3 linked regions of the Tamandua tetradactyla genome follow. The protein of the gene in region 2 purifies or fractionates together with the protein of the main gene of each other region. This does not show direct contact. Links are inferred from orthologs where the notes say so. Each region holds a gene or a part of one and is shown on either strand. Other genes may lie near its edges.

The links.
Region 1: the proteins of NUP62 (region 2) and NUP98 purify together in Homo sapiens (affinity purification with western blotting; 3 studies listed by BioGRID and IntAct, with this or other methods). This does not show direct contact. The link is inferred for Tamandua tetradactyla from reciprocal best matches to the Homo sapiens genes NUP62 and NUP98.
Region 3: the proteins of NUP62 (region 2) and NUP88 purify together in Homo sapiens (co-immunoprecipitation; 4 studies listed by BioGRID and IntAct, counting the BioPlex papers as one, with this or other methods). This does not show direct contact. The link is inferred for Tamandua tetradactyla from reciprocal best matches to the Homo sapiens genes NUP62 and NUP88.

What each region holds. Positions count from the first base shown.
Region 1 is NC_135334.1:74,755,790-74,760,832, forward strand, and holds the start of NUP98 (nuclear pore complex protein Nup98-Nup96), read right to left. Parts: upstream 3,489-5,043; 5' UTR 3,324-3,488; exon of another isoform or gene 3,243-3,323; intron 1-3,242. UniProt on the Homo sapiens protein: Plays a role in the nuclear pore complex (NPC) assembly and/or maintenance. NUP98 and NUP96 are involved in the bidirectional transport across the NPC. May anchor NUP153 and TPR to the NPC.
Region 2 is NC_135342.1:11,237,712-11,242,754, reverse strand, and holds the start of NUP62 (nuclear pore glycoprotein p62), read right to left. Parts: upstream 3,151-5,043; 5' UTR 3,049-3,150; exon of another isoform or gene 2,862-3,048; intron 2,238-2,861; exon of another isoform or gene 2,166-2,237; intron 1-2,165. Other genes in the region: ATF5 (cyclic AMP-dependent transcription factor ATF-5), read left to right, coding at 4,435-4,612. UniProt on the Homo sapiens protein: Essential component of the nuclear pore complex. The N-terminal is probably involved in nucleocytoplasmic transport.
Region 3 is NC_135332.1:59,946,712-59,951,754, reverse strand, and holds the start of NUP88 (nuclear pore complex protein Nup88), read right to left. Parts: upstream 2,766-5,043; 5' UTR 2,246-2,765; coding exon 1,943-2,245; exon of another isoform or gene 1,780-1,942; intron 1-1,779. Other genes in the region: RPAIN (RPA-interacting protein), read left to right, coding at 2,868-2,948, 4,082-4,252. UniProt on the Homo sapiens protein: Component of nuclear pore complex.

The sequences.
Region 1 (5,043 bases), on a different chromosome or scaffold from region 2:
TGTAAAACAATGCCACCGTTCTCACTAATTTTAATTTTTTAATAAAAATGTTAGCATGAGTTTATTATTATTATTATTATTATTATTTTTTTACATGGGCAGGCACCGGGAATCGAACCTGGATCCTCTGGCATGGCAGGCGAGCATTCTTGCCTGCTGAGCCACCGTGGCCCGCCTGAGTTTATTATTTTTTAAATTAATAAATCTTTAAAATTTTTCTCAATTTTAATTTCTAATACAGTAATTATCAATAGACATAACCTACATAAACAAAAGCTATTGGAATCCTCAATTTTTTATAGTATAAAGGAATGCAGAGACCAAAAAGTTTGAGAACTGCTGTCCTAGATAGACTATTTCTATGGCTTCCCAATTCATCTGGCCTGCTTACAGTTTCACATCTTCGGTTCTACCCAAGCCTAGTTTAAACTCACTCTTTGTTTCAGACTTATGCAATTAGAGCCACACTTTAGGAAATTACTTGTATTCCCCCAGTTTAAAAATTACAATGATTTCCCATTCCAGTGGATTTTGTACAAACTCTTTAATAAGGTGAATTCTCAATATTTATTAAATCACAGAGCATCACATTTACTTACATCAGTTCAACTACAAGATCTTTTGCCTCTTCTGGTGGGGGAAGTGGAGACAGAAATAGATACTATTTGGTTTCTTAAGTTTTTCAGCTTCCCAAGTATCAGATCTCAGGAATTTAAGAGTTTTTCAAGGATAATTTTAACAAAATACAACCAATTGACTATATAAGCAAACTCCAAGCAAGATAAAAACATGATTCTAATGAAATACTGGAAATGTTTTCTCTAGAACAGTGGTCTCAAAATCAGGGATTATTTTGCCTCCCAGGGGACATCTGATAGTGTCTGAAGACATTGTTAGAATTTGGAGGGTGGTGGGAGAGTGCTACCAGCATCTAGTGAGCAGCAGTCAAGAATGCTGTTAAAAAGCCTGCAATGCACAAAACAGCCCTTCCACAAAAAAGAATTATCTGACCCAAAATGTCAATAGTGCCTAGAAATATATTTTGAGACATATTGTGCTAAATACATAAGGTTCAATTTGAAACGCAAAAGACGCAACAAATTCTCAAGAAATAAATGCAAAAGATAGAGCAAATTCTCATATACATGCCCTGCCTCTAATACTTAATAATAAATCTCTAAATTTCTTAGCCCTCTAACATTTCAACAAATTGCATAATTACAGATGTGCTCTTCATTGAAAATTAAACATAAAAACTACTATCCCTTACTTCCTAGGTTAACTGTCACAACAAAAATAATAGATAAAATAATATAAATAATAAAATAACCAAATTTTAACAAGCTGTGAGCCTGATATCCTAAAAATCCTACTACTCTTACAAGTTAGTGGATGTGAATAAAGTTAGGTACCAAAGTACTACATATAATATAAATTGTAGAGGTCTTCTCTGGACCCTACATTTCAGGAACACACAAATATTCTGACTCTTTTATGACTATTTTTAGGTTTAACTCCTCCATGTTTGTTTACTCATTAAAGTAAACACTTAATTGAGGGCCTACTCTGTGCCAGGCAACCTGAATGCAAAGATAAGACAAAAATATGTTACTACAGTCTATTAAAAACACAAACAGCTAAAATATAAAATGACATATGCTATAAATAGAAGTATCAAATAAGTGTTATGGAAGTTTAAGAGGTAGAGAATGCCAGGGAAGGCTTCCCAGAAAAGGGTGATGCTTGAACTGAGAAACTATCAGAGAAAACATACACTGTTCATATCTCAGTTTTCATACTCCAGTTCTCTTCTGCTCTTATACACTAGTAGTCTTCAGTATTTTTTTGCTTCGTTATCTAAACAAGACCAAAATGTCCATTTGACTAATGTGAATAGAACTAAGTGGCAAAACTAACCCAATGTCATCAAATTTAAAACGAGAAGTCAGGGGAAAAAAAAAAGTTTTTAAGTACCAGTACCTTCATCCTATCCAGCTACTGGCTTTTTTTTAAGTGTCCTATCTTCTTTCACTGAGTAATCACATCATCTGTCACTCTGTTAATAAGCGTTTCTTTCTGAATTAAAAGATTGCCACAGAAATGACCACTGCTCTTTTCTTTCTTTCTTGCAGTTAGTTTCTTCTTCCAAATCGTGGTTTAATTTGATCACCTTACCCTACTTTACAAACTTTACTTTGCGTTCTGTCCCAAAGAGGAGTTATGAATTCCAAGATATATGAAATACAAGCGCTTGCTGACTAGTTTTCTACGTCTTGTCTACATTTCCTTTTTGTCATAAGTCACTAATAGAACCTTTAGCGCCCACAGCCGTTGATACAAGTGAAAACGTCAGAATTAGAACGGGAAACTCGCAAAGGGTTTATAGTTGTATCGATTCATTTCCAATACAAAACATCACTGACATTCTTTTACCAACTTTCTAGTTCTTGTGGTCTAGATTAAGGTATATCACTAATGAAGTGTCCGTCTTACCATCAACAGAGATAGTAGTAACTTAATACGAAACACTACTAAAGACTACGTGTATTTCTAACTACCGAACGCCCCCTCCCAAAAGGGAACCCTCAGTAATGGGCGACTGGATAAATTAGGGAGGGTGGTGCAGCAGAAAAATTTCGAGATTTGAGTCAGGAGATCTGATCTCGGCTTCTCTATCTATAAAACTTCCGTGTGATGGAGTGGCTTAAATAATTTCTAAGACCCTTACGACTACGGTAATCCAGAAACACAATCTTTCTTCTCTTCTGGTTTTGCCCAGAACACGTGGGAGAAAAGAAAATATCATTTAACTTCACTGAACCGACCCAATTGCCAAACACCATTTTAAAATCTAACAAACTCTCAACCCGCCCCTCGGGCTGCCACTTCCGTGGTGGAGAAGCCAAGGCATATAAAGCCCACCGCCTACGACCGCCAACGGAGTGTTGAAGAGACCCTATTCAGGATATTAAGGTGCTGCCCCCGCAAGGGGTCGGCCCACCGCAGGCGACTATTCGCTGCGGAGCGAATGAATGAATATAACCAGTTAGATGGACGCCCCCTCAGCGTGGGCAACAACTGGAGATTCCCCGGCCCAAACCCCGCAGACAGCCATTCCCTCCCAGCCCTGAAGAGTCTGGACTCTGACCGCAGGATCGCAGGATCGCAGGATCGCGGGCTCCGCCCCCTCCCTCGGGGCAGAAGGTGCGCGCCAGAGCGCGAGACTCCGGCGCAGAGAGGGCCTGGGACTCCCCGCGCACCCGCCCTGAAGGGAGGAGGAGCCTGCCGGTTCCCGGCCGCCGCCGCCCCAGCTCTCGACTTACCACGGTACGGTGAGGGAAAGGAGGTGTCCGGAGTGAGGGCCCGGGCCCTCCGCCACCCGCCGCTCAAGGAGCAGCGCGCGGCCGACACGAAACCGTCGCCGCCGCTACCACCGCTACCGACAGCCGCTTCGGGCGCAGCGCGCAGAGGGCCCAACTGCGTCACACGCCGTCCTCCGTCAGAGGCTCGCTCCGAGCGGTCCGCCCTCGCTCTCTGCGCATTGGCAGACGAGGCCGCCGCTCTGGGCCTGCCGTGTTATTCATTGGGCAACGCGTCTTTTGAAACCGAACGTGATGGCGTTCTTTTGAAGGCGTGGCGAAGGGGGAAAAGGAGGGGCATGAAGAGTTCGGGAGAGGAGAAGGAGTAGAGAAGTGGGAGAGGCATGGGGTCCCGCCCCCTCTCCGCCGCGATTGGCTGGGAGAGAGTCGTGGCGTCACACAGGCCCCTCGAAGTGGGCTGGTGAATGGCTAGGTTGGGATGCACCGGGCGGGCTGTGGGAGAGGAGTGGTGACGCCATATCGAGGCTCCGCCCCCTTCATTGGAAGCGAGGGACTTCGGCTGCAGAAGCTTGGGCCAATCAGAAGGAAGGCTCCAGGATGGCGTGGTAACTATTCTCTCCTTACCTTTCCCCGGTCCGCGGGTGGTGATGGGAAGGCCTCCCGGTCGCCCACTCCGCACTTCCGGGCCAGAGCACGTGCGGAGCTGAAGGACCCTCCTGGTAGGAGGCCGTCTAACCTCGTAACTTGCCTGTGGCTACTCCAAGTCCCTCAAGGCCTGGCTCTTCCCCTCTTGGTGTAGGCCAGCCTAGCACAACCTTTTCCTCTATGACCCTCGGTTTCTTTCTAGTAAAATAGGGGCGAGAATCATCTCAGATACCCTAGATTAACGTTATCAGCCTTAGAGATGTCTTAAGGAAATGACCCCAGCGTAGAGCGTGGTGCACAGGGAAACTCATGGTACTTCTTTCCAAATAATTGCTCCATTTAGAGAATCCCTCCTTATTCTTAAATGCCGGGTTCAAATGTCCCTGCCTTCTCTGTGATACATTTACCCACCTCTCCAAGGGGAGTTGGGCTTAGTGCTCAGGTAGCCCATGTTACAGCCTTGTCACTTTGTATCCTATTATTCACTTGCTTGTCTTGTGCCCGGGACTTAGTTCAGAGCCACATTTTCATCATCTTTTCCTCCGGGCATTAGCAGAAACCTGGTTATTAAGAGAGGGAGAAATAGACAGGGTTTAGAAACTGGATCGCTCTAGTGACTGAGGGTCTCACACAGGATAGCAGTACTCAGAAAGCAGGCCACTACCGCTCCTCCACCACTATTTCTGGGATAACATACAAACCTTTAATCGGCTCTGCTTAAAAGTAAGTGTGGTAGCAAGGGATTAGTAATATTTTATTTGTCCAAAGTGAAGTGGTTGTAAAGATGTAATAAGAAAATGGATGGGAGAAATCTGGTAAATGGTAGGTAGGTGCTCAGTAGATGCTTGAAGGAAGAACAAAATTAGTGTATTGATGGCCAAGTAATAAAGCTAGTTTAAACATTTGACACCAAACCCCTTCCCCCAAGTCCAGCCAAACATCCCTCCTTTTTCTCCACCATCCCTTGTCTTTGTTCTACATCAGAAAGTCATTATCTCTCCCTGAATAGTTATAGTAGCATCGCTCAGTCCTCCTGAACCTTTGATTTCTCACCCTCCCATTCTCAAACCCAATTCTG
Region 2 (5,043 bases):
GCCGTTGCCAGGTGCGCCAGGCCCCCAGGGGATCCCCCCTTTCCCCCTCCCCATCAAAGAGCAAGGGCTGATGCAACCCGCCTGCAATCGCCGTCTCACTTCCCCAGCCTGGCCCCTCCGCACCGAAAAAGAGTCCTCAGCAGCCCCACCCATGCTTCCAACTCCAATCTCAGGAGTTGAAGGAGCTGGGGCACCTGCACCCTGAAAGGCTGTGGGAGACTGGGGGAGGCTGAGGCATTTGAGTCCTGGAGAGGCCAGAACCTGGGTCAGGCATGGATATGGGACAAGGCACAGGGTGCCAGCTGCAGATGACTGCCTGTGAACTAGAATCTATTGGCAGGCCTGGGCAGCCCAGAGCACCCAGCACCCACTTGGCAAAACCCAGTGATGCTGCCTAGGTGGGCCAGTCTGTGCCAGGGCTGAATTAGGTAGGCTCCAACAGCCAGAGTGAAAAGGGCATGGGGGCTAGGACCAAGAAGATGACTTTTCAGACAGTACATCACATACAATCAGCAATATGATTCCCAAACCGAGCTAGTTTCTTTTCAGTTAGTAAAGATACCCTCCCTGGCCACCTGCTCAAAACCCCACAATGTCAGTTTAACCATGAGACAAACTCATACTGAGGGACATTCCCTAAAATACCCAAAGGCCAGGACTGTTCAAGAGTACATGAGAACATTTTCTATCTTTGCAATTTTTCTGTAAATCTTAAAATTATTCTAAAGTAAAAAGTTTATCTAAAAAATAATCTATGACCCTACTCAGAAGACAATTCTGGGAGGTTACTGTAGGAAAGGGACAGAGGGAGGAAACAGATTCTGCTAGGGAAGGGGCCAGATGGCAGGAGAAGAGTGAAACTAGTGTCTAGGAGCCAGATCCTGCCAGCAGCAGCAGGTTTCCCAGTAAGGGTGGCAGCCTCATCAATCTGGTGGTCTGGGCGGCACCTCCTCACTGACCGCAGTGAGTCCAACTGTCTAGCATTAACCCCTACCACCTGCTGTCACTGAGTTATAGTGAGAAGTGGAAGTTTGTCCTTAAGCCTCCAGAAACTGGTGAAGGGCTAGTTTTGAAACTTTAACTCCTGCAACTGGAGCTTCAACAATCCTAACCACCACCCCTAACAGTGCCAACCAGCAGCCAGGCACAAGTCCAAATGTTTGACATGGACTAACTTACTTAATCCTCATGACAGCCCTAAGAGATGGGTACTATTACTGGGCACAGAGTAAACAGAGGCACAGGGAAATAAGTGTAACTGCCCAGGTCACACAGCTAGTGAGTGGAGCACAGCCAGCTGTGCACCCAGATCACCTGGTGTCAGAGCCTGTGCTGATAACCACTACCGTACCCTGTCTAGGTCATAATGTAGCTCCAAAGGGCCCAGCTATGGGGCAAGTGCTCAGTACTGGCCCAGTGGATGGACACCAAGAGGGTAAGGGGTCAGATCCAAGAAGGACTTCCCACATGTAACAATGAAGGAAGAGAGGGGATTTCTTAACTCCCAGACACTCTCAAAATCAAAGTTCCCACACATTTTTTGGGCCTCGATTCAGTGTCTTCACTGTCCCAGGTGGGATGAGGGTTGGGGGTGCAGGTGTGGTTCAGTGGTAGAATGTCTGTTTGCCTGCCATGCAGAAGACCTGGTTCGATTCCTAACCCATGTACCCACAAATAGAAGGGATGAGGGCTGAACTCCAAGTGAAACATTCTGATGTGGATGGATGCAAGGTGGGAAAGAGGGTTTCTGCAGCAGAGGAAAGATCTACATCCAACCAGGGCTGGTGGAGGGTCCAATGTATGGGGGTGGGGGAAGAATAGTTAGGAGGCTGCTTTCTTTCACTAAATGGAATCATAAATCTCCCCATTTTTTGGCAGGGTTGAGTTCCTCACACAGTGAGTGGCAGCTTAGGCAAAGGACAATTTGAAACAAAGTTTGGGTGAGAGGCAGAAGCAGAGAATAACACACGCGGTGGAGTCAGAGTATAGAGGACAAGGACTGAGGGACTGTGGATGTTGGCAGGTGGGCAGAGGTGAACAGAGGGTGGAAAAAGGATGAAGTGGGGGTAACAATGCCAAAATCCCTGCACGGGGGTGGGCTGAACACCCACCCTTTGGAATGGGGGAGGGTGGTGATAGCTGGAAATTACATAAGAGGAACCTACCAGCAAATCTTGGTCAAGTATCTGGGGCTCTGCCAGGAGGGGAAGACAACGTGATACTGAGTCCCAACGTTCCTATTAATAAGAAGACAGGGTTACCAGATGAGTACAAGCTGGGCTGTGCTTCATGGACACTGTCATTTTAATTCTCAAACAACCCCACCAAATAGAGGGTATAATTCTCATTTTATAGATAGCGACAAGAGGTCCACAGACCTTATTTGCTCAAGATCACCAGGCAGGTGATTCGAAAAGAGCACCGTCTGACCCCGGGGTCCCGCAGAAGTAACCCACAAGGATCCTCACGGAGGCACGGGCAGAGACTCCGGTGCGGCTGGCCGGAAGTTCTTTCGTGAAGCAGGGGAAGGCGAGAGACACGTGAAGGCCTGAGGGAAGCTGAGGGGGATGGGGTCGGGCCCCAGACCCTGGGGTCAAAGGAAGGAGGAGAAAGGGGTCTGTGCTCCCGGGTCAGAATCCCTAGAGTCAGAGGAGGGAAGGGGTCGGAATCCCGGGTCAGACGGAAGAGAGGACCACAGCACCGCAGGGTTAGTGAGAGGAGGGCGCCAGGCACCCGAGTCAGGGAGAAGACTGGGCCCCAGAGTGAGAGGAGAAAAGGGCCCAAACTCCGGGTCACAGAGACGAGGGGGCCGGGCCCGCCTCCCTGCCAGGGCCCGTCGGGGCCCGCAGGGGCGGAGCGCGGAAGGATCCGGCAGAGCCGTGCTGCGCCACCCCCGCTATATCTGTCCCGGGTCCCCGGGGCCGCCTCATTCCCTATCCTCGGATCACGGTCTCCCTTCACGCCAGCGCGACGCCACCACCCGCGCAGTCCCGGCCATGGCCCTGTAGCCGCGAATCCTCCCTGCCCCCCGGTCATCTCCGCGCTCACCGCGCCTGCGCCTTCCGCTCCCGCTTCTTTCTTCAGCCGAGGCTACCGCCGCCTCTCCTTGCCGCCGCCATGGAGTGAGTAACCGCTCGCCCCTCCCTCTCCAACCGCCCTTCCCGCCCTTTCACAGCGCGCGGCCTTCTCACCGGGGCCGGGGGGTGGGGAGCCGGGAGCGTGGACTCTAGGTCGCGCAGGCGCAGGAGGGAGAGGCCGCGGTCGGCGGCGCGCGGCCGAGCATGCGCACTCGGTCCGGGGTGGGGAAGGGCCCTTCCCGCGAGGGTGTTTGTGCCTGAGTCTGGCCCGTGGGCCGAGGCGCCTGCGCACTAGCCCTCAGAAAGGGTGGGTTTTATTTTTTTCGGAAACGATCCTGTCCGTGCGCGGCCGCTCATGCCCACCAGAGCCAGTATTCGCGTAGGGCGGAGGCTTGAGGGAGCGATCACGCGCTTTAGCTCTCGAGGAGGCAGGCGCGTGCGGAGGGGTATGGGGTAGGGAGCCGTTCTCTGCTCCCTCCTTCAACGTGTCCCTTCCACCTTGCGCGGGCGCACTGCCCAGCTTCCCTCTCCAAGCACCTGCTGGGCCTGGCATAGATTGACGGTGTGGGGGCGGGGTTTAGAGGCCACCCTCTAGGAGAGGGGGTGGGGCTAGGGCCACAGCAGTAGCGAGGGGCGGGGCTTGTGAAGCCTATTGTGAGATGAGGCGGGATCCACAGAGAATTGTCAGGGAGGGGTGGAACTAAAGTAGATGGAGAGGAGCAGGACTTTGGGGGCATCGTGGGAGTCACCGCACAGTTTAAAGTAATGACGGTGATAATTCAGTGGAGAACACTGATGAAGAGGCAAAGCATGGGAGAATTCCCCTGGGAACTGATTTTAGAAGGAATGGATTTCGAGAGGGGGTGGGATCTAAAGGAAATAATTTAGGGACAGGGTGTGGCTGGAAGGAAATTCCCCTGGGATTGGATTTTTTTTTTTTTTTATTAAAGAGGAGTATCATGGGGTGAATGGGAAAGGTGTAAGGAAATTCCGCTGGGAGGACACTACATTCTCTATTAGAAGAAGGGGTGGAGCTTGGGAGAAAAGTAGGCTGGGCCCAAGGACAATTCCCTTGGGAGTAGGTGGGGCTCTAAGATTGTTGGGAAAAAAGAGCAGGTTTGGAATTCTGAGAGGAGGGTCTCCGTGGCAATGGGGGTGTAGCTTAGGGGCGGTCCTGTGCCTTTGCCCAGTGGGTGGAGCTGGCCTCTGACCCCACCCCTTTTGCTTCCCACCTGCAGATCCTCTACTTTGGCCTTGCTGCCTGTCTCCGCCCATCCGAGCATCCTCTTGAGCCTCCTCCCAGCAGTTGGTGCTGCAACCTCCCTTGCCATTGGTGCCCGGCGCCTGTGCTGCAGCCATGTCACTCCTGGCGACCCTGGGTCTGGAGCTGGACAGGGCCCTGCTCCCAGCTAGCGGGCTGGGCTGGCTCGTAGACTATGGGAAACTCCCCCTGGCCCCTGCCCCCCTGGGCCCCTATGAGGTCCTTGGGGGAGCCCTGGAGGGCGGGATTCCAGGGGGGGGAGAGCCCCTGACAGGTAAGGATAGATGAAGAGTGGAGGTAGGGTGAGATGGGGAGGTGGGGGACAAAGGGGAAGGAAGAACTCATTCATTCATTCACTCATTCATTCAGTAAATATTTATTGAGTACCTACAATGTGCCAGGCACTGTTTTAGGTGCTGAGTATACAGCTGGGAAGAAAGACTGGCGTGATCCCTGCCTTTCTGGAGCTCACATTCTAGTGGAGACAGACAAGAGACAAGTTAAATGGGGTGGGGTTTGGGGCACCCATGGTGAGACGGCTAAGTGGGCCCTTAGCAGCTAAGCTAGAACATGACAAAGGGGACCTAGTTTAGCCAGGAAGGCTTCTCCAAGTAGATAATATTTAGGCTGAGGCCTAAAGGATGGGAAGGAATGAACCATGAAAAGCCCAAGGGAAGAGCATTTCAGGTGGAAGAAAGAGAGTAT
Region 3 (5,043 bases), on a different chromosome or scaffold from region 2:
TGAACACTCATGTTCATGGCAACATTATTCATAAAAGCAAAAAGGTAGAAGCAACTCAAATGTCTATAGATGGATAAACAAATGTGGTACATACATCTAATAGAATATCACAGAGCCTTAAAAAGGAATGAAAGCTTGAAGACATCGTGTTGAGTGAAATAAGCCAGACACAAAAGGACATTTGTAAGATTTCAGTCATATGTAACAGCTAGAATATGCAAATTCATAGAGACAGAAAGTAGAGTACATGTTATCAGAGGTGGGGTGGAGAGTTAATGCACAATAGGTATACAGTTTCTGACTGGGGATGATGGGAAAGTTTTGGTAAAGGACGGTAATGAGGATAGTACAACATTTGTGAATTTAATTAATCACTTTGAATTGTATCCTTGGGAGTGGTTGAAAATGAGAAAACTTCTGTTGTAAATGTTTTCCATAATTTAAAAAAAGAGAGACTAAAGAGACAATGACATTTAAATGCAATACACAATCCTGGACTGGAAAAAAAACAATGGAGGACAAAATGCCTAAAAGGACATTACTGGGACATATTTCAAAAAACCAGCATACAGACTATGAGCTAAATTTCTTGAACTTGATCACTGTGTTTAAGGTAGAGTCAAAAGACAAATCAGAGAGAACTGCAGTTTACAGCATTTTATTTAGGATAACAAGATTGCTATAGCATCAAGGAAACATTTAACCTGCAATGCAAAAGCAGTTTTGACGCTGGGGTATTTGTGGGCTTTGCTAAACAGAAAGAAGGAAGTATACCAGGTTTTGTGATTGGAGTAGGGAACTGTTTGTAGTGCTGTAGGGATAGATCAACCTTAAGCAGGGCTTTAATTGGGTGAGGCGTGCTTAACTAGGGGCTTAGGTGGCTTTTGGGGTGGAGTATCTTGGTAGGGACTTTTGGAAGAGGATGCTTCTTATGCAATTCTGAACAACTTTTGTGTTGTTTCTGAGAAAACCTAGGAGCTATTTTTTATTATATTTTTCAGTGGTTACACAAGTTGAATATTCTCGCTCTTACGAAATGTACAGGGAAGTACTAAGTGTTCAAGGGGCATGATATATACAACCTACTCTCAAATGCTTAGAAGATAGATGGCTGCCTGGAGAGGTATCTGGAAAGAGAGAATGTCACGGAAATGTGGCAAAATATTAACAACTGGTGGATTTGGGTATCTGAATGGGTGAGTATGCTGGAGTTCTCCGTATGGGTTTCGTATTATTTCCGCAACTGTCCTTAAGTTTGAAATTATTTCAAAATTAAATTTTTAAAAGACTCTCTTCCAGTTTGGGGATAGCCTAATTTTCCAAAAGGGGAAAGAAGAAATTATCAAAAGATTCCTCCTCCATGTCAGGCACCAAGTGTGGTGCTTTCAAATCTATAACTTGATGCGATGCTCACAACAACCCCAAGAGAAAGTTATGATTACCCCTACTGCATTAATGTCACATTATGAAATAGGTTTCCTTTGACCAACCTACCAAAAATAGTACAGTCTGTATCTCCCTTTTTCCTGCGGCTTTTCTTCAAAATACTTAACCATACTGATATTTCGTTAATTATTTCACGGTTTTTCTCTTCCTTCCAGACTCCCAGAACACACAAAATAAGAGCAAGTACTTGATATGTTTTGTTTCTGTTACGTTTTTGTTAAAGTGCCTGGCACAGTGTTGGAGTCAAACATTTGTCAAAGGAATGAAACAAGTAAACAGAGTCTTCAAATTGTTACGTTACCATGCTGGAGTAGAATAATAATAAGGGGGTTTCTAGGGACAGTTTCACTCGAAATGGAGGGGGGATCCTCGAAAGACACCTGCTTACACTTGAGCGGCACACCACCAGAAAATGAAAGACAACCCGATGAAAAGGGAACAAAAAAACGAGTCTAGACCCCAGCTAAGGGTCATTTCCAAGACCAATTAGCCATACCTGATACTCGGAGAGGGAGGGTTCCTCACCGCTGCCACTGAGGCTGCGAAGGCGAATGACTAAGAAGGAGCTGCCTTCCCCGTCCCACAGGAAGAGCTCTCCACCGAGGCCGAAGAGTAGGTTTCTCGTCAACAACGGTGGTGATGGCAGGGGCGGCGCAGACAAAGATAAAGACGTAGGTTTCTCAGCTTCGGTTGGGTTCTGGTTCTTCAGTCCCTCCTGGAGCCGCAAAAACACGACGTGGTTAGGGAGCCAGGTCTGCCAGAGCTCACTGTCGCCTACCGAATCCTCAGCAGCCGCCATCTTGGCTCAACTACTCTCCTTGCTCCAGTTGCTCAGCCCGCCGCTGAGTGCAGCCAATCCGCGGCCAGCCATACACAACTTCGGCCAATCACCGAGAGGATGAACCGGAAGCACGAGGCTTACGGCTGGGGGCGGAACAAAGGTAAGGCCAACCCATCAGGCCGGGACATCGCCAGAGGAAAGCCAATCACCAGTCAAGTACTTATTCTGAAGGGAAGAGGGCGGGACGAGAAGGCCAACAGGCTAGAGCGGGTTAAGAGAAAGCATTGGTGCAGCTACAGTCTCATTAGCTGGGGGAGATCCTGAAACCTGTGTATCTAATTATCTACTGGACACCTCCGCCAGGGTAAACCCAGACATCAAAAACCTCCCCTCTTTGTCGCTTACTTCTTGCCTCACTGTCGCTCAATCTAGGTTGGATTTTTCCTACAAATGTCACTAAACAATCTCTCATATTTGGGTGCCCATATCTGTCGCCATGTGAAGTCGGTCGTTGAGATTTACACTTCCCAGAATTCCCTGCCTTCCATGGGCGTGTGATAGCACAAGAGACTACAACTCCCAGCATCCTGCGCGCTTCAGTGGGGTGGGGCCTTCTGGCTGCGACTCCCGCGAAAAGGACATGGCAGAGTCGTCAGGATATCGGCACCGCTCGCTATACAAACAGACGAGCTCGCCGCCTTGGAAGGAGGCATTTAGGCAGGTGAATATGGAGTTTGGAAGGCCTACGTGGCATGTAGTCACTCCCCTAATCCCTCTTGGGATCCGGTCTCCGAGCCTTCGCCTCAGCCCTACTCTGAGGCAGGTTCCCGGAACGCTTGGCCCGTGGCGGTTCCTGGTCACCTCCCAGCTGCCTCTCCGGAGTTTCTGCCCCCCGGGTTTAGCCTGGGTCCCTCTCCCTCACAAAGCCTAGTTTTTGGATTTGGGCTTGTTTTAAATTCGAGGTGTGGTAATGGCCGCGCCCCTTGCTCCCCTACTATATTAATAATAGTAAAAACATATCTGAGCACCTGCTCTGCGCCGGGCACCGAGAGAGGCATTCTGTATAGGTACTTCGTGTGAGGACAAGATTATTTCTGTTTTAGAGAGGGGTAAACCGAGGCTCAGAAGAGTTTCAGATACTAAGTAGCAGAGTTGTATCCCACCTCAGTTCTGATCTATTCTGAGCTCAGCATGGTTCCCAGAAAATAACATCTCCTATCTCTCCAGGAATCCCTGAAGTAGGTGATTTATCCCAGGAAAGTAAACTACTACTGCAGTGACTGTATAGCAGTTTCATAACCGTTGACATTTTGAGGGTAATAAATCTTTGCTGTGGAGGGGTCTATGTATTGTAGAATGTTTAGCAGCATCCCTAACGTCTTCCCACTAGATGTCCAATAGCCTTCTATAGAAATTATCTATAGACATTGCTAAATGTTCACTGGGGACAAAATTGACCCTGAGTTGAGAAACGCTGTTGCACAGGTAGGCAGTTACCACAGCCATATCTGGGTTGGCAAGAATTCGGTAGCAACCTAAATATCCGGTAATAGGACAGGGGATGTTGAAATACTATGCACCCAATCCTTAAGGAAGCCTGCATTAAAGATAGAATGTGACGTATGGAGATCTGGTAATACCTGAGCAAAACCTTGATGTAATTTTGCCTATCTACAGGTGGACAAGGACTGGAGGAAAATAGGAGAGGAACATAAAAAATTTAAAAGTTAGGATTATAGCTGAAATTTTGTATAATCTATAAATTTCCCTTGATGTTTTGACAACTAATCTAAGAGGTTTTGCTTTGTTTTGTTTTGTTAATGGAATTGCCCCCATCTTGCTGCTGCTTCCAAGGGATGCCTGGAGAGAATGAAAAACAGCCGGGACAGACTCCTGAACAAGTATCGTCAGGCTGGCGGCAGTGTGCCAAGGAGAGCTCAGAACACCCTTCTAGTGCAAGAAGTGATGGAAGAGGAGTGGAATGCTTTACAGTCAGTGGACACATGTCCAGAGGCCTTCGCTCAGGTCAGGTTGGGATATGTGTGTGCAGGGAGGGGGTTATTAGGAGTTTCTGGTTACAAGACCAAGAAATCCTAGTGTCTCTTCTGTACCTATTTCCCAAGTCCTCTACACCCCTACCTCCAGCCCCCAGTCAGGATTCAACTGCTATTAACCTAGATCCTTCTACCTTTAATGTTAGGTTATCAGTGCTTCCTAAATACAAGACTATAGACCTCCTGCATCATTGTATCATAATCACTTAATGAAACTTAAAGAAACCTATATGTATATTTCCAGGCTCCTGCCCTGGAAATTTTGATTCAGTAGGCATGGGCAAATAAATCTGGAGACCTTTTTAAAAAGATCTCAGTCAGGGTTGGGAGCTGGATGTGAGTAGGAAACCATTTACAGTGTATCGTCAACCGTTGTTGACGAGAAACCTACTCTTCGGCCTCGGTGGAGAGCTCTTCCTGTGGGACGGGGAAGGCAGCTCCTTCTTAGTCATTCGCCTTCGCAGCCTCAGTGGCAGCGGTGAGGAACCCTCCCTCTCCGAGTATCAGGTATGGCTAATTGGTCTTGGAAATGACCCTTAGCTGGGGTCTAGACTCGTTTTTTTGTTCCCTTTTCATCGGGTTGTCTTTCATTTTCTGGTGGTGTGCCGCTCAAGTGTAAGCAGGTGTCTTTCGAGGATCCCCCCTCCATTTCGAGTGAAACTGTCCCTAGAAACCCCCTTATTATTATTCTACTCCAGCATGGTAACGTAACAATTTGAAGACTCTGTTTACTTGTTTCTGTATACTTGATTGGAAGTCAGG